Linked DNA regions of Tamandua tetradactyla. The protein of the gene in region 1 purifies or fractionates together with the protein of each later gene. This does not show direct contact. Links are inferred from orthologs where the notes say so. Each region holds a gene or a part of one and is shown in the gene's direction. Other genes may lie near its edges.

Region 1 (7,606 bases):
ACGGACATTCGAGAATAAACTTGAAATATGTCATTGGTAACAGAGTTCAGCAGGAGTTAGAAACAGGGTAAGACAATGGGTAATTGAAGCTGAAGGGATACAGACTGTGCAACAGGACTAGATACAAAAACTCAAAAATGGACAGCACAATAATACCTAATTGTAAAGTAATCATGTTAAAATACTGAATGAAGCTGCATCTGAGCTATAGGGTTTTTTTTGTTTTTGTTTGCTTGTTGGTTTGTTTGTTGTTGTTGTTTTTTACTATTACTACTACTTTTATTTCTTTTCTTTATATTAACATTTTATATCTTTTTCTGTTGTGTTGCTAGTTCCTCTAAACCGATGCAAATGTACTAAGAAACAATGATCATGCATCTATGTGATGATGTTAAGAATTACTGAGTGCATATGTAGAATGGTATGATTTCTAAATGTTGTGTTAATTTCTTTTTTTTTTCTTTCCGTTAATAAAAAAATAAAAAAAGAAAAAAAGAAAAAAAAAGAAAATGTTAGGGGGAAAACAGAGAGAGAGAGGCATGGGCTCTAGAGAAACCATTCACATCAAGAACACCCTTCTCTTTTGCCTCATTGTTGTCATTTCCTTGCTTGTCATCTGAATGTTCAACACTCATCAAAATAAGAGCTGGTGTGTCTTCCACACCTTCCGGCTGATCACCCTTGGGAAGTGGCCGTGAACACTGACCCTTTGTGGTCTATGGCCACAGTTCCCTGCTGCAATGTGGGCTGGTTTTCCAGGCTCCAGCATCCCAGGGGGCCCCTTCTCCCTTCAGCTGTGTGGGATCTCTGGTTTCTGTGTCTCACAGCTACTTCTTGGTTTATTTCCTCCATAAGCTCCAACAGCTTTAAGGGAAATAATTTAGCAAATGGTGTGTGGGAGGTAAAAGCTTCTGAGAACTCTTACTTGTCTGAAAATGTCCTTATTTTGCCCTCCCACTTGATCAATAGTTTGGCTATGGGCTGAATTCTTGGCTGAAAATCATTTTCCTTCAGAATCTCCAGGGCCACTGTTGGGGAAACCTGAAGCCATTTCATTTCTGTTTCTTTTGGCCTGTGTTTTTCCTTTTGGAAGCTCCTGGGATCTTATCTGCTCCCATTTTTCTGAGGCTTCATAATGATGTACTTAGGGGGCTGGTACTTTCAACCTGTAAATACTTGTCCTACAGGCCTGGAGAATTTTCTTGAATATTTTCACTGGAGATATCCTCCTTTGCTATTTCTTTGTTCTTTCTTTCTTGAACTCCTTATTATTCAGATGATTTGCCCTCTGGACTGTTTCTCTCATGTTCTTACAATTTCCTTCCTAATCTCTCTGACTTTTGAATCTGTTTTCTGGAAGGTTTCTTCAACTTGCTGTTCCAGCCTTTCTATTGAATTTTTTTCATTTCTGTTAACTTGCTTCTAATTTCCAAGAGTTTTTAATTTCATTTAATTTAAAATCTTCTGAATGCTCCTTTTAAAAAAATAATAAGAATAAATCCCTTCTTATTCATGGATGAATTATATTCTTTTATCTGAAGAAGTTGAGAGTCTTTTTTTTTTTTTTTTAAGTTTTCTTCTCCTTGCCATGCTTTGTTTTCCTCAAATTTTATTTATTTTGACTTTATATTATTTTGACTTCTAGTTTCCATTCTTGAGGTTTTCCTCAAATATTTGATAATCTTTGGTGATCTGTTGCTGGTCAAAAGTGAAAAACTAAAAGTTGGCGGGATGCTTTAAGGGGTTCGGAAGGCTTCCCATGTTGTTCTCTCTTTGGTGTTGCCAACAGGGCAGGAGTGGCAGGTTCCCCAGAGAAGAGCCCTCCAAACCCCTACCTGGAAGGAAGCTGTCAGCATTCTTAAGGCGGGGGAGAAGGAAGAAGGGAGGTTTTCAAGATACAGCCTAGCATTACTACATCCCTTTGTTTTTGTTTTGTTATTGAGGCCCTATGCCTGAAGTCCTCTGGTCCTGAGACCCTCTGGTTGCCTTCTTCTGAGAGGAACCTCCAGTCTTTCTATAGGAGGAGAGGAGGGCAACCACCCTGCTCAATGCATGGTTAAGAGGTTATGTAGGTTGCTCCATCCTTCTCTGCTTTCATCCCATCTATCTTGTCCTACTCTGCCTTCACCTCCAACGGTAGGTACCTGGTGCTGCCAGGTGAACATTCTCTGGCGTAGATCAGGTGTTGGCTATCTCAGGTGGCTGTCTACCCTGTCTACCTTCCCAACGCATCTCATTCCAGCTGCTAATAGCAATTGTCTTCTTCCCTTTTCCCTAAAAGGATTATGCCTTAAACAAATCCCTTTACTGAAATTCTAGTGGGGTTTTGGGTGGGAGATACTTGCATCCAACCTACGTCTTAATCTGTAAATGAACATAAGTTCACTTGCCTATTGACCACCTCTTCCACTGATTTGTAGATTCCTCATCGTAGGGATCTGTTTTGTCCATTTCACACTTTGGAAGCCTAGACAGTGACTGGAACAGAGTGGGCACTCAGCAAACACATTAACAGAGGACCCTGAATGCTTTAGACAGGGCATAGGATTCCATATATAGTAGGCACCTGATAAATTAGTAACTATACAGCACATTCAGAACACACATGGTCTAATACAGCATTTGCTTTTATTAATTTTCTTTAAACTTTAAAAAATTATTATTTATTTTCATGGGGACAATTACAATTAGACAAGCTGAAACTTGGAGAAGCATGATTACTCATTTTTAAATGGACTCATTTTCATATGCGGATTGTACATTAGTTTTGTTACCTTATGGTCACAGTCGAACTTCCTGTATGCTTTCATTTTATCAAGCTGGAGAAATAATGATCTGGATTTGATTGTATCATATCTTGCCTCAAAGACTCATGTCATTTCAGAATAAAGTTCACACTCAAGGCACTCTGCAAGTCAGCCTGATTCTGGACTTGGAGCAGGGCAAACCTCTGGCTTTCTCTGGGTCACATCTGAGGGTGGCCTACTCCCTTGCTAGCTCTGCAACATTTGATTTACAGGACTTTGTTCTCTCTGTGGGAAACTCTTCTCACCCCATCAACAGCCATCAAAAATCCTACCCAAACCCATCTTTCAATTCTCAGCTCAGTTGTCATGTCTTCGATGAAATTCTTTTTATTAGCATGATGTCTCTTCTGTGCTTTGCCTCCTGATAAACATATCTGTAGCCCACCTTAGCACTGACGAGTGGGACTGATATCTCAGCAACTGTCTCTATCTTATTCGTTCCCTACCAGAGCATTATGCAACAGCAGCACAATCAGCTGTTCATTTAATTGAATAACAGATGTGAGACCCTGCCATTTTATTTGCCCCTATTCTAAAAGACATGAAGGTAACTACGCCAAGGAGTTTAGATTTGTCGCAAATTCAGCAGAAATCTGTGTAAGCAGTGACAGAAATGGGGATGTTATTCCGCTACTACCCTTGAAATTTCAACTACTCAAGGCTGATCTGTATCGACAACACAAAAAGGTATCCTTTCCCTGGGAACACATTCATGTTGAAATAATTACAAGATAAATACGGTCTTTTTTTTCTTCTTAAATATGTGTGCAGAAAAGATCTGATTTCAGAAGACTGTTACACGGGTGGGCAACAGAGTGAGGTATAGAAAGAGAAGGGCCCACAAGATGAAACATCAGAAATCAACTTCCCAGGAGGGTCCACTCTTAACCAGGGAGCGTAACTGCCTTCCAGTGGGGCAACGCAACAACACGAATCGAGGTTTAAAAACACTCACCCCTACTGATGCACTAACTCCATTTATGGGAACACAATCTAAAGCAACTAAGCTATAGACAAAGATTCTTGCACAAGCAAGTACCTTTCAGCATTGCTTTTTAGAGACAATCCATCTGCCCCACAATACTAGAACTGGTTGAATTCATTACGGTATAACGGAATAGGAAGCCGATGTTAACGAGGTTCTAACAATGACTCAGGGCGATCCTCTCAATTTTGACATGTTCATTATGTATATAAAAAATAATTAATTGGAAACATGTCATCCGCACATTAATGATGTGCCAACATCGTCAACGCAAAGGAACTTTGGTTCAGTTTTCTCCTCAGAACTTGGTACAAATCATAGGAAGTAACAGGCACGCAAAACATTAAACATAAGAGAAAGTGCATACGTGAGAAAAGTTTACATTTTTGGCCAAATGAACCTTGGTGATATCTGCAACTGCGTGTTATATGCATCTTTCTTCTTTCTGGTTTTGGACTCCGAATTTCCTAAAAGAACCTTCTGTCATGTTAACTATCACGTAAAAAGGATAATAAAAAGGGGGGGGTTTGTCAACGCCCTTCAGATGGTCTGGGACAGCTCTCAGAGAAAAGCTGTTCCCGGGAACTCAGGACTTCCTTCGAAGACTAGTCCCCGGGCCAAGACCCGGTCAGCGGCGCAAAGATGGCGGCCAGCCCCGTCCGTCCGCGTTGAGAGCCGAGCGCTCCCGAGCGTTCCCGAGCATTCCCGAGCATCTCCGAGGCCGAGAGGAAGCCCCCGGAGCGGCCCCGCCCGGGAGCCTAGGAGCGGCGGCGCCAGGGCGGGGGAAGGGAGGCCGGATGTGAGTGGAGCGGCCATTTCCTGTTTCTCTGCAGTTTTCCGCCAGCTTTGGGTGGTGGCTGCAGCTGGGCTTTGGCTGCCAGTGCACTGAGGGCCAGGCGGCGTGGACAGCGGTCCCGGCACCCCGCGCCCCGCCGCGCCGCGAGCCTGCCGCGTGCCGCGCCCGCCGCTCCTCACCTCAGCGTCCGGTCGCCGCCGCCGCCGCCGCGGCCCAGCGAGCGGCCCAGATGCAGGCCATCAAGTGTGTGGTGGTGGGAGACGGGTGAGTGCACCGGACCCGGACGGGCCGGGCGGGGGCCGCGCGCGGGGGCGGGCCTGGCGGAGGCCGAGGTCCGGCCGGCACCGCGGACTCGCGTGGGGCCTGCGCCCGGCCTTCTCTGAGGGCCGCGGCGTTCCCACCTTCCGCGGGGCCCGCGGGGCGCCGCGTGCCTAGTTCCGGCTTTTTTTTTTTTTTTAAGTGGGTGTTGGGAATTGAGTGCCGGCCGGAGGGAAAAGGGGACCCCACCCTCCCGCTTTCTTCCCGAGCCCCGCGTCCCGCCAGGGCAGAAGTCACCGAAAGCCTCTCCCCGCCCTCCCCGCGTTTGCACGGTGATTAGGTGGCGTTTGGAATTTGCCTTTTTTTTTTTTTTAAGCGCGCTCCTTTCGTTTGTCTTTTTCGCCTCCCGTGTCCCGGTGGCGGCGGGTAACGCTTGTCAAGTTAACACTGTTGGATCACTGTTTCCGGGGCTGCTTTGGTGACCCTAAACTTGCTCTGATGAGTGGCTTGTTGGCCACTCCTAGAGCTTTAGAGTCACGGTGTTTGCTCTTTCTGGGAGAAACGTTTAAGAGTTTAGCTGTGAAGTAGCTGGATGTGATTACGACTCTTCTCTTCATTGAATATGGGCTAAAAAGGAGGGGAGGGAGTGCGTTAGGGTGTTAGGTATGGGATGTAGCAGAGCAAGCTCCCTGAGCTGGGTTGCCCTGTGTGACTCAAGGCATTTCTTTTCATTGCTGTCCGATGGTCACAGGCCCTCGAGGAAGACAAGACTTGACTTATGCAGTTTTTTCCCTCCCCTCCCGTAGAAACAAAAATCTCAGTGTAATCCTAGCAGAGTTGTGCGTGTCTGCATGGCTTGTGTAGTTTTAGCGTTAACAAGGAAGCTTGAAGAACTACTACCAGTTTCGTCAAACTCAGAATGCAACTGGTACGTTTCCCAGCGTGCAAAGTCGAGGGAATTGTTTTGGCATCGTTCTTCTTTTTGATTAGTGTTCTCCATACTTGTCATTGGTACCAATTTAGCTCTTAGTCTCTAAAGTGATTTGTGATTTCCCAGCTTATTTAGATAATTTTAGGCATTCGAAGTTGTTCCTCTAACTTATTCAGATGCAAGAACAATTAGGCAACTGAATTTTTTTAAGCCGCCCATCTGACTGATTTGTCAGACTCACAAGTGTGAAGAATTCTGAACACTTCATGGTTCTATGCATATAATTAAAAATCGTTTCACTCAGAAATATATTTTTTAACCTTGCAGAAGACAGCTTTACTTTCTGTCATTTAGGGTGGAAAAAAAAGTTCATTTAGTTGGTTTAATAAGGAAAACAAGATTCTTTTACATGAAGTTTTGATTCTTTTGCATCATGAATGAACTCAACAGATATCACTTTGTCTAATAATCATTCTTAGTTATCTGCATTTCCTTTAAAAGTTAAAAAGGCCGAATCGGTAATGTTAGCATATGAAATAATACAGACTAATTTTTTTAAGGAAGCAGTGAATTGCTGATAATTCAGTATTAATAGCCATAGTATGTAATATTCTCAATTTAAAATGTCAGAAACTAAAACATAAGCGCTAGTAGGTATATTTATTTAATACTAACGGGTTATGGATCTAGATAAATGGGTATTGGCTTATTTATTCTAGTCAGATACTTGTTGAAAACTTCGAGAATTGAATCCTCCCATCAAGTCAAGTCCCCACCTCACCATTTACTTGTGGGGTAATCTTGAGCAGGTCATCTCCCAAGAGAGGTGCCTCAAGGGAAAGTTGTGGGAATTAAATAAGAAGCTGGATAGTAAGCACCTTGTCGGTTCCCGCCCCATAGTGACTGCTCAGGAAGTGCCAGCTACCATTATTCTTATTCACTGCTAGGTCGGGGAGGAAGTGTTAGGCAGAGTTACTGACGTTGAATTTTTAATCCTTTATTTGATACTGATTTGACTAGGGCCAAGCAGCATTAGAAGTGAAATGTACCTTTCAAGAAAACCCCCACCAAGCCATAATACTTTAAATTAGAGATAATAAGTGCCAACCATTATTTCAGTGAAAATCTAGATCCATAATTCCCTATCCTAGAAATATTTGTTAGCTTCTAATCACATGTCTGATGATATAGTTGGAATTTTCTTTTTATTAAAAAATTGTGTGGTTTTAAATCTTGGGGGGGCTGAAGAAGTAACGTAATGTGGAATTTCAAGCAATTTAAAGGCAAATTTTAAGTAATAAAAACAAATTGAGAGAAAAAAACAACGAAACAAAGAAATTTTGAAAAGCCAGAAAGTAAAAATAAACCAAATTGAGGTTTCTCAAACTGCAAATTTTCTTGTTTAAAAAATATTCTTAGGGATTTTGGTTAAAAGCTACTTTACAACCATATTATAACTAGGCTCTGTCAGCCTCTAGTTTAATTCTTTGTTCCCTGTATAGCATTGGGTATAAAACATAAGATAAATTTGATTTTTTTTATTCTCTTAAGATAGTCCTTCCTGAGTACCTTGCCACCTTTATTTTGGGGACCTCTGCCCCAAGATTTCCCCCCAGTTTTAAGATAAGATAACATCTCACATTCACATATGTATAAACAACCATTTTTACTAGTGTTGTTTTGGCTTTGGTTGACTGGAGGATGGGAGTGAATGAGTTGAAACTTCCTTCGTTTCACTCACACAGAATGGTTTCTGGATCGGGCTACTAGCCTGGTGTCTTAACTTAGACATTGCTGTCCAAGAATTTTTTTAGTCAAGCATGATAAAT
Region 2 (7,140 bases), on another chromosome or scaffold:
TGCAGTTAAAAAATAAAACAGGACTTCCGGAGAAGATGGCGGCTTAGTAAGACGCGCGGGTCTTAGTTCCTCCTCCAGAAAAGCAACTAAAGAAACAGAAACAATACAAAACAGCTCCCGGAGTCACGACAGAGACCAAAAAGACAGCGTACCCCATTCTGGAACAGCTGAACGGGCAGGGAGAATCTGCTGCGGTGAGCTACCCGAGGGGCGCGCGTTTTCCCGGCCGGGGCGGCTGGCGACTGGGGTCCCCTCCACGCACGTGGCTCCCCGGTCTGACTGGGAACGTTGGATAGCGGGGCCCTCCCGTCACACTTGGCGTTTTGGGCCAGCTGGGCAATTAGGACCGGCACTCCCCCAAGTCAGGGCGGCTGGCGACACCCCCCGCCCTCCACATGCGGTTTCCCGGGCCGACTGCCGTGCAGACAGACGAGCGCCACGAGCGCCACCTACTGGGGAGGAAAAGAAAAACAGAGCCCAGAGATTTCACAGAAAAAGCTTTCAACCAGCTGGGTCCCACACCCAGGGAAATCTGATCAAATGCCCAGACACCAGCAGAAAATAATGGATGACGCTCGGAAAATTGAAGATATGGCCCAGTCAAAGGAACAAACCAATAGTTCAAATGAGATACAGGAGCTGAGACAACTAATGCTGAATATACGAACAGAAATGGAAAAATTCTTCAAAAACCAAATCAATAAATTGAGGGAGGACATGAAGAAGACATGGGCTGAACAAAAAGAAGAAATAGAAAATCTGAAAAAACAAATCACAGAACGTATGGGAGTGAAAGACAAAGAAGAAAAAATGGAAAAAACAATGGATACCTACAATGGTAGATCTAAAGAGACAGAAGCTACAATTAGTGAACTGGAGGATGGAACATCTGAATTCCAAAAAGAAACAGAAACTATAGGGAAAAGAATGGAAAAACTTGAGCAGGGGATCAGGGAACTGAATGACAATATGAAGCGCACAAATATACGTGTTGTGGGTGTCCCAGAAGGAGAAGAGAAGGGAAAAGGAGGAGAAAAACTAATGGAAGAAATTATCACTGAAAATTTCCCAACTCTTATGAAAGACCTAAATTTACAGATCCAAGAAGTGCAGCGCACCCCAAAGAGAATAGACCCAAATAGGCGTTCTCCAAGACACTTACTAGTTAGAGTGTCAGAGGTCAAAGAGAAAGAGAGGATCTTGAAAGCAGCAAGAGAAAAACAATCTGTCACATACAAGGGAAACCCAATAAGACTATGTGTAGATTTCTCAGCAGAAACCATGGAAGCTAGAAGACAGTGGGATGATATATTTAAATTACTAAAAGAGAAAAACTGCCAACCAAGACTCCTATATCCAGCAAAATTGTCCTTCAAAAATGAAGGAGAAATTAAAACATTTATAGACAAAAAGTCACTGAGAGAATTTGTGACCAAGAGACCAGCTCTGCAAGAAATACTAAAGGGAGCATTAGAGTCAGATACGAAAAGACAGAAGAGAGAGGTATGGAGTAAAGTGTAGAAAGAAGGAAAATCAGATATGATATATATAATACAAAAGGCAAAATGTTAGAGGAAAATATTATCCAAACAGTAATAATACTAAAAGTTAATGGACTGAATTTCCCAATCAAAAGACATAGAATGGCAGAATGGATTACGACCCAGCAATACCACTGCTAGGTATCTACTCAAGGGACTTAAGGGCAAAGACACAGACGGACATTTGCACACCAGTGTTTATAGCAGCATTATCTACAATTGCAAAGAGATGGAAACAGCCAAAATGTTCATCAACAGACGAGTGGCTAAACAAACTGTGGCATATACCTACGATGGAATATTATGCAGCTTTAAGACAGACTAAACTTATGAAGCATGTAATAACATGGATGGACCTAGAGAACATTATGCTGAGTGAGTCTAGCCCAAAACTAAAGGACAAATACTGTAAGGTCCCACTGATGTGAACCGACATTTGAGAATCAGCTTGGAATATATCATTGGTAACAGAGACCAGCAGGAGTTAGAAACAGGGTAAGATAATGGGTAATTGGAGCTGAAGGGATACAGACTGTGCAACAGGACTAGATGCAAAAACTCAAAAATGGACAGCACAATAATACCTAAGTGTAATGTAACTATGTTGGAACACTGAATGAAGCTGCACCTGAAATATGGTTTTTTGTTTGTTTGTGTGTTTGTATCTTTTGTTTTTGTTTTTTTCTTTTTCCTTTTTATATATATATATTATTAGTATTATTATTTTAATTCTCTTCTCTATATTAACATTCTATATTTTTTTCTGCTGTTTTGCTAGTTCTTTTCCTAAATCGATGTAAATGTACTAAGAAATGATGATCATACATCTATGTGATGATACTAAGAATTACTGGGTGCATTTGTAGAATGGAATGATTTCTAAATGTTGTGTTAATTTATTTTCTTTTTTTTGATTAATAAAAAAATTAAAAAAAAAATAAATAAAACAAAATCTTTCAAATTACCTCTAAGACAGCCCTGGGCAGAGAAAAGCAGTCATCTGCTTTTTGAAAATGGGAGGACTGGAAACTGGAAAGTCACTCAAAGTCCATATTTGCAGGAGCAGGAGGGACCCCCAGAAGCTTCTAGAGAAAGTGTTCTCTAGAAATTTAGATATTTGGCAGACTCTGTTCCTGTAAGCTTCCATCCCTGTAATTTCTAGCATTAATCAGAGCACAGCCAGGGCATAACTGGACTTCTTTGTGATTTTCATAAACCTAATGGCTGAACTGGGGTTCCTGATGCCCATCATCATACTTCTCCATAAGAACAAGGGAAGATTTAGGCAACTTTTCTCCTAAACATGCGTGTGACAAACTCACTCCTTTTGATAAGTGTGCTGGTTTGAAAGGATTATGTACCCTAGGAAAGCCATGTTTTTTTTATCCTGATCCAAAAGAGGAAACATTTTGGAAAGCACCCTGAGAACCACAAAAGCTCAAGCAGCCAGAGACCTTTGGAGACGAAGAAGGAAAACACGCCCGGAGAAGCTTCATGAAACAAAAAACCTATAAAGCTAGTAAATGTCGCCATGTTGCCCATGTGTCTTTCCAGTTGACAGAGAAACCCTGAACCTCATCTGCCTTCTTGAACCAAGGTATCTTTCCCTAGATGCCTTATACTGGACATTTCTGTAGCCTTGCTTTAATTTGGACATTTTCACCATCTTAGAACACATAAACTTGCAACTTAAAAAACTCCCCCTTTTAAAGCCATTAGGTTTCTGGTATATCGCCTTCTGGGAGCACGCAATCTAGAACAATGAGCGTTACTTAACCTGCTTCTAGACTGGCTTTTGGGACTAATTCTAGTCAAGTTTTCTTCGGCTGGCCATTCCCATAGGCTTTTGCACGCGTTTGTCCATGGCTCAGAGGGGAGATGTGGCTGTAGAGATCGGTCGGTGCAGGGGCGCTTCATGTTCATTTTGTCCTAAGCGTGTACCTGTTGTACCTGGAACCTGGAACTTAAGTTGTACTAGCTTCCATCCTGACGGTGAAGTAGTGAGTCCATCTGCAGTGCATCCCACCCACCACTCTGACCCCGCTGACCCCTGAGGGGCGGGGAAGGGAGGTGTAGACCTGGATCCTTCAGCGTCCAGAGCTGGGTGGCTCCAGCCTGTATGCCCCTGTCCTTTCAGAGCTGATACCGCCTATGCCGGCTGGTGGTCCTCAGGACTCTCTGCCCTGGAGAGCACCTTCGGGGGCGGCTCGGGTGCTTCCTTCCCGCCGACCTGGGTCTGGTGTGAGCGTCTCAACCGCGAGGAAAGAAGCCCGGCTGGTTCCAGGGACCGGGTAAAAGGGTTAGGAAAGAGAAGTGCGGCTTAGCCGGATTGGGCGGGTGCGGGGGACTAGGTAGGGGGAAGAGAGGGTGAGGGGAGGAGTGGTGGTGAGTGCGATGCGTGTAGCGAGCAGAGGGCCGGGTGGGGGCGAGGCGGGGGAAGAGAGGCTGGTAGGAGGGAGGTGTGAAGCGGACGGCGCGGAAGCAGGAGCCCAGGCCCGCCAGGCGGCAGGGACCGGGAAGTCCAGGGCGCGGCCGGAGCGTGAAGGGAGGAGCGCCGGGAGGAAGGGGCCGAGCCGGGAGAGCCCCCGCCCCAGGAGGAAGGGGAGGAGGCCGGGCGTTTCCTGGCGCATTCCCGGTCCGCCCGAGTGACTCAACCAGGAAACTCGCAGGGCCCGACCGGGACCCTCGAGCCGCCGCGGACCCAGGTGAGGATCGTCGCTGTCCCCGCCCCGGCCCGCGGCTTCCATTTGGGGTCTCGGGCCCCCTCAGAATCTCTTCCCGGATAGGTGTTGCGGTGCCGAGATCCGGGCCCCGAGGGCGGCCGCGACCTGGCCCTCGGTGGCGCGGCCTTCCTGGGGGGTCCACTCAGACTGCCTCCGGACTATGGGACCACGGACTTCCCTTTGCCCGTCCCCCTCCGAACCTCCTGATGCAGGCCTCCAAGACTCGTTGTCCACAGGCTCCTCCAATCCCTTGGCCCCCAGGACCCCGGCTTCTAGCTCTCTCCCAACCCGAACCCTTGGCACTCAGGCCCCTCGGCTCCCTGATGCCCCCGTATCTCCCAGCTACCCAGACGCCAGCGTCCCCGGCCCCAGCTGTCCCGGCCCCCAGGTTCTCCCAGTACCCGGTAGGCGCCTGGCACGTGGCGGGGGCTCCAATGGGGAAGGAAAACGGTGTTTTGCACGTGATTGTTGGAAAATAAGGGGCAGACGCTTGTTAACTCCTACGCCGCAGGGTGCGCAGGACTACCACCAGTTTTGATGCGCGACCTCTCCGAGGGAAGGAGGGTTCTTGGAGAGATGAGTTTTGAGCTTTGTTAAGGAGCCCGGAGAGTTACGTGGGTAGAACTATTTGGCACAGCCAGGACGATCCGAGTGTTTTCAGCCTGGAATGCCGGCACTGAATTTTTCCAGCGTGGGTTGGATGTGAGAAAAGCGCCAACCGAGGTCGGTGTCTGGATTATGTCTAAATGATATCGATAGTGCTTGCTTACTAAACCCTGTTTTGAATTATTTGTGCTTTCCGTGGGCCACTGAGATTTTTGGATTTATTTTCTGAAAGTAGAGGGCACCTACTCTTAACAATGTTTTGCTCTCCCGTGAGCCCAGTGGGATTTCTTGGCCGTTTTCTACCGTGATTCCGTAAATGATTCTTGATTGAGGCAGAAATGATACCCGGTACTGCAACGCAGATTGCAGTTTTTCTCACAAGCTGTTAAGTACAGCAAGCAGCTTGATGACTGTGCTTTAGAGTCCTAGCCTCATTCAGCTGGAGGCTGGAACTCCGAACGGTGGGAACCATTTGCGTCCGCTGGACAAGTGAAGGGTCTCCACGTTTGCCCCTTATCCCTGCAGTTCCTGTGAACAGGTCTACAGGCACCGAGAAATAGTCATGACTTAAGTGCAGGCCTTGGGCAGGACTGATTTGTCAGAATTCAGTAGGAAGCTGGTGCGGATGTCCCATCTTCTTCCTCCCTATAGTTGTGGTTTTTCCAGAATGCTATATAAAAGTAATAATTCAGTATGCCGTCTTTTAAGTCTGGCTTATTTCATTTAGAATGCACTTGAGAGTCACTCATACTCTAAATTTGTCCCTTAGGGACAAATTTAAAGCAAGGTCTGAAAACTATAGCTCTAAATAGTATACAGCCTGAAAGAGATTAAAATAATGGTTCTAAGTGCTGAAAAAAAGTTGCAAAACTCCAGCTCATTAAAAAAGGTTAAAGAATACAGGACTACATACATTTTAAAGTGAAATCGCTCAGTGCTTGAACAGAAGTATATAGCCTTTTCTGAACAGTTTTTCTTATTAACGAAATGAGATTATATTGTATATATTGTCATACTTTATTACTTAATGAGTTTGGATCACTTAGAAGATCTTAGGGGTCCTTACATGTAGTATATGTAAGCACAGATTTCCCTCATTGTTTTTAATGGCTCTATGTATTCCATAGTGTGGATATACCATAATTTAATCAAATAATGTTAATTGATATTATTATTATTCCCCATTTTTACCATTATAGTCGATGCTTGTGCCTAAACCTTTACATACATATTCAGGATTATTCTGGCAGTAAAGTTTGGTTATAATAGTTGCTAGCATTTCTTGTGTACTAATGCTCCAAGCATTGTACTAAATTGGGGTCTACTTTTTCTGTAAAGGTGAAAATAGTGAATATTTAACTCTTTGAAGGCCATATGGTATCTGTCTCTGCTTTTGTAGCACCAAAGCAGCCCACACAATATGTAATGAATGGGTGTAACTGTGTTCCAATAAAACTGTGTTTCAAAAAATTGGCATTGGGCTGTAGTTTGCTGATCTCTCTTCTCAGTACTTTGCATACTGACTATTCTCACAGCCCCCAAAATATGTGCAATTATTATTTCCTTTTTATGGATGAGAAAACTGACATGTGAAATGAAGTGTGTGGCCAGTGTTATCTGCCTGGGAAGTGGCAGAGCCAGTCTTTTACTCAGACATAAACACTTCACTTATAAGGACAAATTAAAGGTTTGAAATACGCTGTCAAGCTGCCCCCAAATGTTATGTTTTATTAGAGCTTTTATATTTGAAAAACATTTTATAGTGTGAAGTTTTAAGAAACTAACATGTTCCAGCTACTGTCACTATCTTTGTTACTAAAATTTAGCTGGTCCTTATTGGCCATAGGTATAGAGCATGGATTAATTACATTCACATAATTAAGAAACTTTATTTTAGCCAGTGGAATAAGGTCAGAAAAATAAATGAAAGATATACAGATTGGAAAGGGAAAGTAAAACTATCCCTATTTGCATTTAACATTTGTATAGAAAATCCAAAGAATCTAGGAAAAAGCCCCTAAAACTGGTAAATGAATTTATCAGGATCACAAGAAACAAGGTCAACATGCAAAAGCCAGTCTTATTTTATATGCTAGCAAGGTATAATTGGAAAGCAGAATAAAAAAAAAATACCATTTTCAATAGAAAACCCCAAATACTTAGGTTTAAATCTAACAAAATATGTAAGGATCCATATTCTGAAAGCTATAAAATGCTCATGAAAGATATCAACACCAAATAAGTGGAGAGATATACAGGGCTTATGGGTT
Region 3 (7,436 bases), on another chromosome or scaffold:
GGCCCGGGGGAGGAGGGGCACAGTGTCCCCTGTCCCAATCTAGGAGGGTCCGGAACACTTGAGGGTCGCCAGTCCCGGCCGGAGGGGGCGGGGGGGGGGCCGCTCCCATCAACCTCTCGCGGTCAACAAACACAAAAGCCGCGGCCGCGAACAAAGAATCTCTAACTCGCCGGGGAGGCGGGACAGCCCGCGCCGCGCCCCCTCCCCACGCCGGGCGGGCGTGCCCAGCCGCGGGGTCCCCGCGGCGTCCCGACGACGCTCTTACCTGGCCGGCGCGGACCTCTTTCTCCAGCTCGCGGTGGCGGTTGTGCCACACGAGGTAGTGCAGCGGATACTTGCCCTCGGGCCCCTTTCTGGCGGAGGCGCTGGCGGGGATCATCGCCCGCTCCTCATGCCGGGGCCGCGGCGCCCGGCCGGGGAGGAGGGACGGCGCCGGAGCCGGGGCCCGGGGCCGTGGGGCGGGGGGGGCGGCGCTCCCTGCTTGCAGGGCTGCGGCTCGGGCATGTGCGAGCGGCGCCGGCGGGCGGGGGCGGCGCACCCGGCGCGGTGCGGGCGGCGGGCGTCCTCGCGAAGCGGTCGCGGCGGCGACGGGCGGCGCGGAGAGGCCCCCACCCGCCCGGGGAGGGAGCGGGCACTCGGCGGCGCGGCGCGGGCTCGCGCCTCGCCTCCCACTCCCCCGCACACAAAGACGCGGCTCGGCGGAGGGAGCAGGCGCCCGCACTGGGCGCGGGGGCGCACTGGGAGCCGGCCCCCGGACGCCGCTGCCGCCGCGCCAGGGACGCGGGCCCGCAGCCCTCCGCTCCCCACAGCTGCATAGCCCGGCCCTATGCCCGAGCGGTCGGCTTGGGCTGCGGGGCTGCGGGGAAAAGAGGAGGGGGACCCGGGTGCCCCGGGCAGAGCCTCTTCTAGTCCGGCCCCGCGGCATCATGGGGCTTGTAGTCCGCCTCGTGGAGCTGGAAATGGCAGGTGGTGGAAAGGGTCCAGCGCGCTCTTTCTGTTCCCTAGAAATGGTGAGGAAGGAGTCGGATCTGGCCGAAACGGAGGAGTGTCTTGATGCCAGGTGGCCTGGGAAGCATCCCCCACCCGTTTGCATTTTGCCCTTTGCTGCAGAATATGGGGGGGTACAGACCCATCTTGAGCATTGGGGGACAGCAGGGGGAGGGAATGTGGCCTTCAGGGTCCTAGGATCCTAGGGGACGTGAGGAGGGATCCAGACTCCCAAAAAGTGGCCGAAAGGGAAATCCCTAAGAAAGGTGTGGGGTATCAGTACCAAGAGTTATTGGAGCAGCCAGACGCCCGACATCTGAAGTATTCTGAGGAGTCCAACCTTTCCTCTTAGAATATTAAATATTTGACGGGGTGGCGGGGAGTGAAGGCTCACTGGGGCGAGGAGGACAGTCCCTTCCAATGCACTGTCCTTAAGTAGAACCAGAGTGGGTTTGAGCAGGGAAAGCAGCAGGTGGCAGCTCCGCAGCCTGGGTGGCCCCCTCAGGAGAGGAAGTGACTGATTTCAGAGACTGAATGACCCCTCGGCAGAGAGGCCCTGCCAGAAGGGACCTCGGAGAGGGTGTGGTAAGTGTGGAATTGATTGCCCTCCGGGGCTCCCTGTTGCTAGAGCTGGAAGGACCTAGAGGCCCAACCCAAGGAGGTTCAGCCCAAGAACTGTGCTGTGAGACAGAACTGAGTTCGAATTCAAACGCCTAAATATGTGACCATAGGTAAATTGCTTAAATTTTCTGCATTTCTGGAACCACTTACCTCTAAAATGTGACTCTGGATATTACGTCTTTAGGTGATCTCAGGATATTATGGTCCTCGAATCGGTGCCCCTCCCTCCCCCATCCAGGCGGACACCAGAAGCAGGTGGCCTTCTGGAGTCCACCTTAGAATAAGGCAGAAAGAAGGGATTCCACTCCCTCTTAGAACAACTATGGAAGAAGTGTTTGTGTGTGGGAGGTGCCAGCAAATGCTTGTAAACTCTCCGCTCCTCTCTCAGGCTTTTTTGTGTGGTCTTTCCTTCCTCCTCCACACCCTGCGGTGCCAGACCCCGGTGGGAAGGGATGAGGGAGGAGCGAACTGCCGCGCCCCTTTCTCTAGGCTGGGAGGAGCCAGCTAGCGTCTCCGGCCGCTGGGGACCGCTGCCCTCCTACACCACCAGAGGTCAGCAGAGTGTCGTGCCTGCGGCCGGAGATGGGGAGGGGGCTGCTGAGGGGGAGGGGCGGCTAGGAGTGGCCGGGTAGATTCTTGTACATTTTCTCATTAAATTATTTTTAGAATCTTGTGTGTGATTTCCTTTTAGTTTAGCAGTCCTTCATCCTGGAGTGGCAGCATCTCCACAGAGAAATCAAGTCCTTTTATTCCTAGCCCCAAATCCAGAAATTCGGCCGCGGAGGGGCCGGGGGCTTCTGTAACAAAGTTTGGGGAATGGGATCCGTGCCTGGGTCAATTCCAGGTAGTCCACCGGCCAACCTGGAGATGAGGCTGGAATAGGGGTGAATCATCCTCCTGCAAAGCCCGGGAGCACAGGGCGGTAGCCTGGGGTAGGGGTGGGTAGGGTTAGGGGTAGAGGGGCTCAGCCTGGAGCGGGGCAGCCTACCCCAGGCGGCCAGAGACACCAAACCGTCCTGAGCGCTGTGGCTGCCACGTGCTCGAGACGCTCCCACACAGCAGAGAAACAAAGACAGCCAAACGACCCGGCTGCCAGAAGCTGCCTTGACATTTAATAAATGAAATTCCAGAGCTGGGGGGGGGGTCGATTCGGGGTGAACGGACGGGCACCACTCGTGGGCTGCTCGCAGGATCCGGGCGACCACGCAGCACCTCCTATCACCATCAAAGCCGTGGACTCTGAGCCCGCGCGGTACGGGGCCGCAGGTGGTGCACCCCTCCTTTCCCCCAACCCCCGCCTGCGAGATATCTTTGCTGGCAGAAGTCCCGGCAGCTGAGCGGCTGGCTGCCTATAGGGGGAAGGGAGGCTTGCAAGAGATTCTTTTAAGGTGCGATTTTAAATATACCCTGTGGATCGCGATTTCAAGCAAACTTGTCAATCTAGGCTGCCGCAAAAAGCGATGGAGGCAGCTTTGCATATATTTCGGGTGGTGACTCATGAGAATTACTTGTCTCCCCAGGGAAGCAGCCTGCCCACCCACAAATCACTGCCGGCACTGGTGCCACTGGGAAAAATCGACCAACTCTGGCACCCCGGCCCAAGGAACACCCCCTCCACCTCCACCCCAGTTAATGAGAAGGACTCCCTGTTGCTTGGGGAATGTTCCCTTAACCTTGCGCCCCAGACCTGGCCCTCAAGCCTAGTCCTGAGCACCTCTGCCCTCTCTCCCCACACCTCTTGCCACTGGAGGGATGGGAGCTGGATGCAAGCTGGGCACAGTGTATGGGGGAGCATGGTCAGTGACGGGGTTCGCCCACGTGTGGCCTGCACTTTCACTCCATGGGCCTCGGCCTGTCTGCACAGCATCCGTGTGAAGTCCAGAAAGAGGCAATCACAAGAAACTGGCCCCATATGTTATATGCACGCTCTGGACTCACACCTCTAGTGGCCCAGAGACAAGGTGGATATACATAAAACAAATGACAAGTAGAGATTTCTGCACACCAGCCGGGTGGTCCCCTCCTCTGTCGGTCTTTAAGAACCACCCAGTTTCTTTCCTCTGAATGGAAGCATGGTGAGGCAAGATTTATTCTTTAGCCCGGAGGCAGCGGGTTACCTTGCGGACCCTCTCTGGCACCTGGGGGGTCTACACTGTGAGCAGGTGTGCGTACTCAGTAAGAGTGTGACCAAACACTCTGGCGTGGGCATCTGGTGGCCCAGAACGCATCCCTCATTCCCCCAAAAGAGAACTGTCACAGCCCTTTGACAGGGAGGAGGACCTCGGCCTCCATCTCCTTCCTTCTCTTTCCTGATTTCACCCAACCCCCGACTCACCATCCCCAGCTCTCAGCAGCCCCTGAGCCACCCCTAGCCCCAAAAGTGGAGGGGTTAGGGCTGTGAAGGTGACTTACACTGCCTCCGGGCTTGGGGAGCACCGGAGCAGAGACTCGGCCCCAGGCGACGCTGTGCGCCAGCGGCCGTGCCGCGATTGCGGCCCCTTTAAGCGCCCCCCCCCCACGCCCGCGCTCCCGGCTTCCTTTCTCCCGGAGGCGCGGCGGGCGGGGCGGGGATGCAGTTGCCCCTCCCCCGGTGGGCAGGGCCTGTGCTGCTTCCTGCCGGAGCGGCCCGGAGCCGCGTAGGGGGCGGAGAGAGCGAGCGGAGAGCGGCGGCGGGGCGGCGCGGGGCCGCGCGGGGCGGAGGGCGCCCGAGGGCGAGCGGGCAGGCGGGCGCCGCGGGTTCCGGGCCGGCCCCGGGGGCGGACGGTTGGCCAGGCGCGCTGAGCCTAGCCGGGGCCTTGCCGGAGCCGGGCCGGGCAGCAGGGGCCGCCGCCTCCCGGGCCCGCCGCCCGCGCCCCCCACGCTGGCCCAGAGGGCTGCGGCCGCTTCGCCGCTGAGGATGTCCCGGAAGGGGCCGCGAGCGGAGGTGTGTGCGGACTGCAGCGCTCCGGGTAAGCGCGGCCGGGCCGGGGGCGGGACCATGCACCGGGGCCGCCGCCGGGCAGGCGCCGGGGCCTGGCTGTAGCGCCGTGCGGGGCCGGAGGGCGGGGCGGGGTGCTGCGGCCTCCGGCCTCGGCTCCCACCAGGGCCACTGCGGAGCCGCGTCCTTGGCGGGAGGAGCGGCCTGGGGTCCCCGGGCCCCTCGCGTCCGTGGACTAGCGAGGAAGGGCATTCCCGGCGACTCCTCCCACCCTTCGGTCTGAGGGAGGCGAGCAGCTAGCTCCCCCACCCCCCCACCTCCATCTCAGTATCCAAACGGAAGCGCCAGCCTGGGATGGCAGGATGGCTGTGGCAGAGGCCGGAGGGTTTAGGAGGTGGGGGCGAGTGTGGTTTTGTCATCTCTGTTCCACCTCCGCGTCCTGCACCTGCTGCTTGTATGGTCTGTGCGCCTGCGGGGTTAGCGGAGGGCAAAGGGCAGAGAGCTGGGCAGATGCGTTGGGGCCTGGATACTGTTTTCTTGGAAGCAGATACCTACTCATACGATGTCCTGCCTCCAGTTCCTAAGGAATCTCCGGGGCCTGCTGGAGATTGGGAACAGATAACCTCAGCTTTTCCTGCTCTCCGGTGAGGCCTGCTTGGGAAAGCAGGCCTGACACTAGTGCCTGGGCCCGGACCCCTCCCGGTCCCCTGGCCCACCTAGTCCGAGCAGAATCAGGTAGGGGGGCAGTGGCAAGAGGTGCCCAGATTTCCTGGATTAAGCTGACTTCCTGGCCTGCCCCCTGGCAGTATATACTCTGGTGTTTCCCTTCCCTTCAGGGTCAGGTTCGGCTGGTGTGAATCCCCCTGGCCTGATGAGGAAGTGATGGACAGTGACCTGAGAGGCGCCTCCTGTCATGTGGGAGGACACTGCCTGTGAGGGGCTGCTAGCAGCTGGCTTGAGGAAGGAAGCTTGACCCTTGTCCATGTTCTCTTTAGAAAATGGGCAGGCTCTTTCTCGAGGAAATCCCTGGGCAGACTCAGGGGGGCAGGTCTGTGAACCCCTGGTGCTATGTGGGCACAATTAAGTGTGAGGGTGTAAAGTCCTGTTTTATGGGCCCATAGCGTTCAGCCATCCCTTGGACAGGCCCAGATTCCAACAGGTTCAGCCCCACAGATGCGCCGGTGGTTCTGGTGTGTGTGTTTGGGAATGGTGGGTGTGTTCCCGGCAGAGACATGGACACAGGGTGCTTTGTGGGTAGTTATGACATGCTTTGTAGGGCCCTGCAGGAGCTGGGAGGGGGGTGCTCTCTCCCCTTATTGGCTGGCAACCATGACCGTCTTTCCCCAACCACTGGCAGACCTGGGGATAGAAACTTGTCTTTTGTCTGTCCCAGGCTGTTCTGCATCTCTGCTGGGTGGGTATAGACTGGGCGGGAGGCCTGGAGACAGCAAGGAGGGCTGTGGGGTCTGAGCAAACACCCAGTAATGGAAGCTTGGATCTTAGTGTTGCTTTTGCTTCCAGCTTACTCTGACCCATGGCAAGACTTCCCTCACTCTGGGCCTTAGTTTCCACAACTGGAAGGCAAAGAAGTTGGCTTAGAAATGGTATTTGAGGGCCCTCCTCCCTTCTCCGAATCCGTGGTCCTAACTGAGCAGAGGGGCTTAGGGCAGCATCAGCATGGCAGCTGTACTGTATTGCACACTTGGCATGCCTGAGGCCTCTGGGTGCCCAGTGGGCTGGATGAGGTGGGTGCACGTCTGTTGTGTTGGAGTGCCCAGCTTCTATTCTATCCCCAGTCCTTGTCCAACACAGGGATTCGTGCCCTGGTTACCTTCTTTTCTTCTGATCCAGAATACAGGTCAGGAAGAGGCAGGCGATGAGACGGGTAAAGATGGCGAGGTGGGCAGGGTGTTGACAGAGCCTTTGTTGTCACTTCACCCCAGCACCTGTGTGGTTTCTGGCACACACAGGTGCTTCCCAAGTGCTTGGAGGCTTGTGTAGACCTCAGCTGGTGGCTTGGGGCTTCCCCGTCCCCCCCACCCTGTGACGCTGGCCCTGGCATGAGGGACCATTCTCAGTCAGGGTTCTGTATCAGCCCAGGGAAGAGGGGTGAGGATATCAATGTGGAATCCGCACCAGAAACCACCCCCTCACTATGATAGGGGTCCTGCACCATTAGTCTTGGAGATGGGGTTGTGGTCTTCTTGTGTTTGTTTAATTTGGGGGGATCTTGGAGGTGAAAAGTGAGGTACAGTGTAAGAGTCCAGACAGCGCAATGCTCCCAGGCCTGGGTACGCAGGGGACAAGTGTGAGTATGTGGTGAGGCAGTTGAACGTGGTATGACTGCTGGGCCACCTTGTCTGGTGCCATCTGTGTCCCTGCCTGCCCTTGGGAGTGCGAAAGAGGGGCAGGGATCTGGGACCCCCTCTCCTCTGCCCACCCTGCCACACACCCAGCCTTTAGAGGCTGGGGACAGCTCTCCAGGGTCTGCTTCTCAGCCCAGAGACCCTCCATCTCACACTTTCCGCTTTGGCAGCCCCAGGCACAGGAGTGAAGACCCCGGGGTGCCCCTGCTGTAGGTGCTGCCAGCCTTGAACATGTTACAAGAGAGCTTGCGGGTTCATTTGTCTCTTCATAACATGGCCGGAGGGGTGGGGTGAATGGTGGGCTTTTCTTTTTTAATCAAGGTGTAACGGATATGGTAAAGTGCCTTAAGCGTTCAGCCTGCAGAATTTTACCCGCCTTTAGACCTGTATAACCAGCACTCCCATCGAGACATTGCGCATTTCCAGCTCCCCAGTGCCTTGTGCCCCCCAAAAGGTAACCTCCCTTCTGGCCTATATCCCTATGGTGACTTTAACCTCTTTCCGGATGGTGGGCTTTGCCCTCTTGTCCAGCAGGTTACTTTGAC
Region 4 (7,641 bases), on another chromosome or scaffold:
AAGATTCTACAAGGGTTCCAGGCACTAGATTAAATTCCCAGAAATCTACAACCTTCAGACGGGTCCCTGGTCCAGATAAGTCATGAAACCTAGCCCAGCCTCTCCAGAACATCAGATAGTTCCACTCCCTACCCCATATTAGTGACAGACCCTTCCAATACCAAAAAATTAGAAATGCCATAGCCCAAACACCCCTAGAGAGAGGTATGGAAAGACCAAAGGTGATGGTGGAATTATACATAGAAGACAGGATTTAACAAATGAATCTGAATGCTGACTCATTAAATTGATATCTCTTTGAGCCTCCAGCATTTTAGAACAGATAGAAGTAAAAACCTAAAATTGTGAAATTGTAACCCATGTCAAATTCTGAAATATGTTCCAGAACTAATTGTGGTGCTGTGTTTTGAAATTTATAGCTTTTTTTGTATATAAGTTATTTTTCACAAAAAAGAAGGAAAAAAGTTGAATATGAGGATAAAAAAATATTTAAGCCCTCTAGCCTCCTATATTCTGGAGGAGCTAGAAGGAAAAATATGAGAGGATTGTATGGTAGCTCATTACAAACTCTGGGATCTCTCCTATAACCACTTGTTGAAAAGTGCTTTGAAAATTATTGCTTTTTTATTTCTTTGCTTTGTATACCTGTTATACTATACAAAGAAGATAGTGATCCCTCTGTTGTAAGCTCATTTATGACAAGACTGATGTCTAACTCATTTTTTAATTCCTCCAAGACCCTTCTAGTCATTTTTAATTCCTCCTTCTTATACCCCACATGCAATCCATCGCAAATCATGTCACCTCTATCTTCAAAATACATCCAGAATACCACCAATTCTCACCAACTCCACCACTACAACTGTAGTCCAACTCTCTCTTGGATGACTGTAATAGCCTATTCACTGGTCACCCAGCTTCCACCCACGGCCCTCTCCAGTCTACTCACACAGTAGCCAGAGCTATCCTAATAAAATGCAAGTCAGATCATTGTCATTTCTCTACTGAAATCCCTTCAATGGCTCCCCATTTCACTCAAAGTAAATGTCACAGATTTATAATGGTTTGCAAAACTGTGGTGGCCGGCCATCAAGATGACCCCTGATGATCTTTGCTTCTTGCTATTCACAACCTTGCATAGTTCCCTTCTATACTGAACCAGGGCTGAAAGTGTGACCAGTAGGATACGGTGGAAGTGATGGCATATAACTTACAAGTTTAGATAGTAAAAGGAATTGTGCCTTCTGCTTGCTCTCCTTTGGATTGCTTGCTCTGGAGGAAACTAGCCATCTTATCTTAAAAATACTACAAAAGCAGATAAGGAGGCTCCCAGGGAGAGAAACTAAATCCTCTCCCTCACTTCTCCCTACTATGGCCAGCACCAGCAAGCTAACCATGTGAATGAGCCACCTTCGGAAAAGGTCTTTCAGCCACATGTTTCAGATGACTGTAATTTCTTGTGACCAAGAGTCAGAATCACCCAGTTAAGCTACTCCTGAATCACTAAATTTTAGGACATTTTGTTACATGGCAGTGGATAACTAATACAGAGGCCCTGTACAATCTTGATCCCTTTTTACCTTTATGTCCTCATTTGCTACTCTCTTCCTTGTTCCTTTAGCTCTCCTGCCTTTGCATTCGCTGTTCACTCTGCCTGGAACACTTTCCCCAGATAGTGCTATGGTTTGTCCTTCACCTCCTCCATGTCTTTTCAGCTAAAATGTCAGTGTCTCAATAAGGCCTACCCCAACCACCATATTTAAAATTACAACTCCTTCTGTCAGTATTTCCAGTCTTCCTTCCACACTCTAATTTTTCTTTTCTCCATGACGTCTATCACTTTTAACATGAATATAATTTATTTAATTATTGTATTTATTTATTGTCTTTCTGTTCCCTCTACACCTGCTAGAATATAAACTCCAAGAAGACAGGGATCTTTGTTTTGCTCATTGACAAATTCTGAGTGATTAGAACAGTGTCTGGCACAGAGTAGGTGCTCAAATTTGCTGATTTTTTTTTAAAAAGAGTGAATACAAATTTCATGAACATGCCAGAGCCTCAGTAAATGCATGTTGGGTGAACTATTAATTTACAGATATGAACAGCAAAGACAGATATACCTGGGGTATTTTATGTGCAGAGATACTGTGCCAGTTTGAAAGGATTTATGTACCCCAGAAAAGCCATGTTTTAATCTTCGCCAATCTTGTGGAAGCAACAGTTTCTTCTAAATCCTATTCAGTACTATAGGTTGGAAACTTGTTTAGGTTATCTCCATGAAGATGTGGGTATTAAATCTGATTAGATGGAGACATGCTTCCACCCCTTCTACATTGGTCTTGATTAGGTTACTGGAATCCTTTAAAAGAGGAAGCATTTTGGAGAAAGCTTTAGAACGACATGGCCACAAGAAGCAGAGTCCACCAGCCAGCAAACTTTGGAGCTGAAGAAGGAAAACTTCTCCCACAGAGCTTCATGCAGCAAGAAGCCTCAAGAGAAAGCTAGCAGGCTGTCTACAGGTTGGCCACGTGCCTTCCCAATTGAAAGAGAAACACTGAACTCTTCGGCCTTTCTTGAGTGACAGTAACCTCTTGATAGTGCCTTGGTTTGGACATTTGTATAGACTTGCTTTAATTTGGAGATTTTCATGGCATTAGAACTATAGAACCTGTAGAACTGTAAACAAGTAGCTATACTGCATGAGAGAAAGCACTGTGCTTCATAACAAAGGCACAAATTCAAGCGCCAAGAGAGTTCAGAGGTGGAAGAGATAACCTTCAGCTAAGACACCTAGAGAAGGCTTTGCATAGGGGCAGTCTTTTCATCTAGGCAGAGGGATAAGTTTGAACAAATTAATGGAAGATAGGAAAGCAGGGGATGGGCTAGGAGACATTGAGTAGTTTTGTTTTATTGGAAGATAAGGAAGGTATTAGGTCCCAGAAAAAAAATTCTAAGAGCAAAAGGAATTCTTGACACAGAGCCCCTTCAGCCCCCCTCCTCAGCATCCTTGGAAGTCCAAGGATCCAGATATGAACCAATTACCATACTGGCTGGGATTGTATTCTACAGGCAAATGAAGACATTCCAGATAACTAGAAATACAGTCATAATCTGTTTCTGTTAATAACACCCTCCTCTACCAGCACCTCACCCTGCCCAATACATGCAGTTGTACATCAAAGGAGAATACCTTAGTAATCTATGATACCCTAAGTCAACAAGCCCCCATCCAATCAAGGGACCACACACCACCTAGTGGGCACCCTTCCCCTCTCCTGGCATCACTTTCCCTTTATAATACAGCTCCCAGAACAAAGAGGGCCAGCCATTTTTCTTTCCTTTCACTGGCTCCTGTCTACCTACTCTCTCTGCTTTCTCTCTCTTCAATAAATCTGTTAAGCCTCCACTGGCTGTCTGCTGTGGATTCCTTAATGACTCCGTGCCTAACAGTAGGGTGCCCAAGGGGAGAGTGAAAATGAGGCTGAGCAGTTTTAACATTATCCTGGAAGCAGAAGTATTGAAGAGTTTAGCTCAAAGGGCCTTTTGCAAGCCGAATTGGGGGGACCAGTCCAGGGACAGAGAAGTCAGGAGACTGGGTAACGGTTAGATACACCTGTAATCAGACAGATCTGGGTTTAAAATTGTTGGGCCAGTTCCCGTACATACTAGCAGTGTGACCTTCAGTATGTCACTTAATATCTTTAAACCTCAGTTTTCTTATCTGTACAATGGGGTAATGATAGTTATACTTCATTAGATTGCTGTGAGAATTAAATGAGATAAACATGTGCATGCAATTACTATTACTGCACTAAGTCAGATGTGAGACTACCAGGGCTGTGACAGTGGGAGAGGATCAGAAAGAATAATATCAACTGTAGCAAAAGCCCAAGAACCAAAAAGAAAATTATTTCTTCTCCTCCCTCCAAGTCTGCTTTTCATTGGAGACAGCATCATTTGAGGATGCTGGCGATACTTTTGATATTTTCCATGACATTAAATATCCTGGTTCAGAAATTATTATCTCAACACACTAGCCTGTTAGAGAGCCTGAGTTCTTGAAAGAAAAATTCAGATGTAGGTCTGACAATCCTACAGCATATTTGAAATAAATCCAGGGTATGATCAGCACATTATGTACTTACACTTCCTTTGTTTCCCCTCCTTCTGCTTCCTTCTGCTTTCTTATTCCCCTGTTCATTTTCCATTCACCTCCTAAATTATTTTCTTCTCTCTCTCTCTTAATGAATGTCTCCCTTTCTTATTCTTCTCATTCTTCCCTTCTTGGAAACAGAGCTTATCCTAATAGTAGCTCTCTCTTTTATTTACTGAGCGATATTGGGATAGTTTGCCTCTCTGGGTCTCAGTTTCTTCTGTAAAATGGATTTAGTAAGAGAGTGCCTACCTCATAGGTTTGTCAAAATGACAAGAACATATATATAGCACAGCATCTGGTCTATAGTAAGAATTAGACACGTTCTCTCCCTTCTCCGTATTCCTTGTCCATTACTTTATCTCTATTCGGCTACTCCTTAACCCTAGAGCCCGGCAGGTAAAAACCGTGGGAAATAAAACATCCTGTAGGCTAAAGCAGGAAACGCTTAAACTAGGGGGCGGGCACCGCGCGGTACCCACTGCGCATGTGCGCCAGGTTCGTCAGGCTCCCGTTCCCAGCTGGGGTCGGAGCCGAGACTGGGCGATATTTTTTTTCTGGCTGCTCTTACCACTCAGGGAAGTGTCGTGACCGTGTTGGCGCCCCGCGTGGGCGCGGCGCTAATCGAAGGTCACCTCAGCCCGAGTGTGTAAGTTGAAAAATGGCGGAGGGGGGAAGAAGGAGGGGCTTTACAGGGCGGGAGGCTGACCTTCCACGGGGGCGGGAGTTTTTGGGGTGCGGCGGGCAGGAAGGACTGGCTGCCGGGGCCCCGTCAGTGGGGCTCGGACCTTGAGACCGCTGGACCACGCCCAGTGTTTCTTTGATGCTCTGACGTGGACGCACTTTGGACTCTCCGACTCGGGTTCCTCCGGGGGATGGGCCGGTTGGTGGATGCGGTTGAGGGAGACGGAGAGACTTCCGTTTCCTTCTCCTAGGCCCAGGCCTGGCTGCAGAACAGAGTTGGCATTTCCATATTGGGACTGGTGGTGCCCCTCCTAGGGATCCTCCCCTCAGGACCTCCCTGGGTGCCGCAGGCGGTCGTGACTGGCGCTCCAGGCCGGGTGAGTACTGCCTTTGCGGGTTTCCCTCTCCACTAGCCTCCCCTCCTCCCCTCCCCCCTCCTCCCCACCCCCTTCCTCCCCTTCTCCCCTCCTGCCCACCCCCTTCCTCCCCTCCTCCCCTCCTCCCCTCCTGCTCACCTCCTTCCTCCCCTCCTCCCCTCCTCCCCACCTCCGACTGGGCCTTGCGGAGGAGGGCGGGAAGGCAGCGAACTTGACGGGGAGGGCGGGAAGGCGGGAAGGCAGCAGTCCAGGAACTGGCCAAAGGAAGGCGAACGTGTATAGCTTCAGGCCGGCGGCGCTGCCTCCCTGAACCCCGTGACTGCTAAAGAACTTTTTTTTATGATCAAAGGGATTTCCCGCAAGTCCCCCCACCTGATGCCTGTGGAATGTGTCTGGCCAGGGCGTGTGAAACAGAAATAATAGGGGCCAAAGAGCTTCCGGAAAAGAAAATTAGCTAGTAATTCTAATCATTGGTGCCCAAGTCACCGCTCCAGCATATTCTGTGAGTAAAACAAAATGTCAATTTAACTTCAGTTTCATTATTTTTTCTTAATAGTGCACGGAGCTTTTTTCTTTGGGGGATAGGGGTGGTGGTTATTGCTAAAAATAAGCAATGGTCCTCCCCACCTCCAAAAAAAAAAAAAAAAGAAAACAAACGTCAAATCTTTGTAAAAAAAACCTATCAGGTTTTAATAACCTACTACTTTGCTTTCAAATACAGTTATATCACTAGTTCTGTCACAACCACAGCTTGATAGTTAAGGACTCAGAGAAATTTACTTTTGTAACAGTAAACGTTGCTATACTGTTTCTTTCTCCTTCTTAATAACATTTGTTGAAATCAGTTCAAAAGAACACTGTTACAGACGGCCATCTTAGAATTATAGCATTTTAAAATTGGAAGGGATCTTAGCCCAGCTCTGTTACGTTTTTACAAAACCGGAATCTGAGGCGATTTCATGATTTACCCATTGGCTCTCCACGACTTAGATTAGAACTCAGGTTTCTGGCTCTTTGCCTATGGTTCTTTCTGTGCAACTTCCCCACATATCCTGCAGGCACGAAAATGAAATGTGTTCAATTCAGTACACATTTCTGAAGAGAATACTTCTTGTTGCCAGCGACTGCCTAGCTCTTAGCAGTTCTTCTTTCAAAACAGTCTCAAGCCTGTGCGTGTTTTTTTTCCCCATCATTCAAGAAGGGGCAACGGTTTAGTTTAAAAACATTTTATACACATACACAAACATGTATACATGTATTTGTTAGGATAATTTCTTGAAGGATACACAAACAAATGTTAACAATAGTTGCTACACGTCAAGGGTGGGAGGAGTGGAAGACTTGCATTGCACTTCCACTCCTAAATGGATGGCCTAATGTACTGTTTTGATTTCTTAACCTTTATCAAGTATTAATTTTATAATTAAAATCAAGTTTTAAAGTTCACACATACATAGGTTAATCAACATAAATAATACATTTCAATGGTACGTGTCTCTATATATGTATATTTATGTATATGTGTGTATCAGTGATTTGTGTTGTAAAATCCAATGTGGCTCATGTATCCCCAAACGGCAAGGCAGGCTTGATTATTATGCTCATGTTACTCCTTTGGTTTTCTCCTATTGCTCTTGATGTAAGATAGTAAAAGTAATTTGTTGCTAGACTTTACTTGGTTTTAGAAAATGTGATGTTTCTTGATCATCAAACAACATAACATTATCAGAAAATCAAATTAGAATATTTATAGATAAGAATCATTTAAAAATTACATTGGAAAGGTCCCTGGGAGTAGTTCAGCTCTCTTGTTTTAACAAATAAGTTAAGACCCAAAAATGAGAAAGTGAACTGCCCAAGGTTATATATCTGATTATTAGCAGAGCCTGGGCTGTAGTCTAGGTCCTAGTCCAGTGTCCTTTATAGTACACCTCTGATCTTATTGCTTTCTATTGCATTTGATGACTCCAACTAGGCTGACAAAGCAATGCTCAATAAAGGTCAGTTAGACCCATTTCAGTAGATAGGAATTGTAATTAATGTACTAGATAATTTGAATAGTACTTGAAATATTTTAGTAACATAAATGTTCCCCTTAAATTTGGTTGTACGCTTTAATTAATAAATCCTTTGTCTACATTGTAAATGCTTAAGACCACAAATGTAAAATGATGAGATTTTACTGTTTTTGTTTTGTCTAATATTTAAGTCTTCTAGCTAGTAGTAGCTCAGGGAAAAGCTTGGCTTACAAAATAAATACTGAACACCTATTGTGTGCCAGGTATTGTACTATGTGTTAGTGTTCTAAAGAAGAGTAAAACAAAATAGAAGAGTAAAGCAAAAAAAAGCCTGGTTCTTTTGAGGCGGGGAGATTATAAGGAACTGTCGATCCTAAAGTTTAATCTTATTTTATATAATCTGGGG

The links.
Region 2: the proteins of RAC1 (region 1) and CYFIP1 purify together in Homo sapiens (pull-down; 3 studies listed by BioGRID and IntAct, with this or other methods). This does not show direct contact. The link is inferred for Tamandua tetradactyla from reciprocal best matches to the Homo sapiens genes RAC1 and CYFIP1.
Region 3: the proteins of RAC1 (region 1) and GIT1 purify together in Homo sapiens (affinity purification with mass spectrometry; 3 studies listed by BioGRID). This does not show direct contact. The link is inferred for Tamandua tetradactyla from reciprocal best matches to the Homo sapiens genes RAC1 and GIT1.
Region 4: the proteins of RAC1 (region 1) and XIAP purify together in Homo sapiens (affinity purification with western blotting; 3 studies listed by BioGRID and IntAct, with this or other methods). This does not show direct contact. The link is inferred for Tamandua tetradactyla from reciprocal best matches to the Homo sapiens genes RAC1 and XIAP.

The regions. Positions count from the first base shown.
Region 1 is NC_135349.1:5,559,258-5,566,863, reverse strand, and holds the start of RAC1 (ras-related C3 botulinum toxin substrate 1), read left to right. Parts: upstream 1-4,596; 5' UTR 4,597-4,817; coding exon 4,818-4,852; intron 4,853-7,606. UniProt on the Homo sapiens protein: Plasma membrane-associated small GTPase which cycles between active GTP-bound and inactive GDP-bound states.
Region 2 is NC_135338.1:74,226,106-74,233,245, forward strand, and holds the start of CYFIP1 (cytoplasmic FMR1-interacting protein 1), read left to right. Parts: upstream 1-4,130; 5' UTR 4,131-4,246; intron 4,247-7,140. UniProt on the Homo sapiens protein: Component of the CYFIP1-EIF4E-FMR1 complex which binds to the mRNA cap and mediates translational repression. In the CYFIP1-EIF4E-FMR1 complex this subunit is an adapter between EIF4E and FMR1.
Region 3 is NC_135332.1:52,835,445-52,842,880, reverse strand, and holds the start of GIT1 (ARF GTPase-activating protein GIT1), read left to right. Parts: upstream 1-4,426; 5' UTR 4,427-4,504; coding exon 4,505-4,556; intron 4,557-7,436. UniProt on the Homo sapiens protein: GTPase-activating protein for ADP ribosylation factor family members, including ARF1.
Region 4 is NC_135353.1:41,719,313-41,726,953, reverse strand, and holds the start of XIAP (E3 ubiquitin-protein ligase XIAP), read left to right. Parts: upstream 1-4,639; 5' UTR 4,640-4,805; intron 4,806-4,865; exon of another isoform or gene 4,866-5,091; 5' UTR 5,092-5,217; intron 5,218-5,355; exon of another isoform or gene 5,356-5,518; intron 5,519-5,566; exon of another isoform or gene 5,567-5,719; intron 5,720-7,641.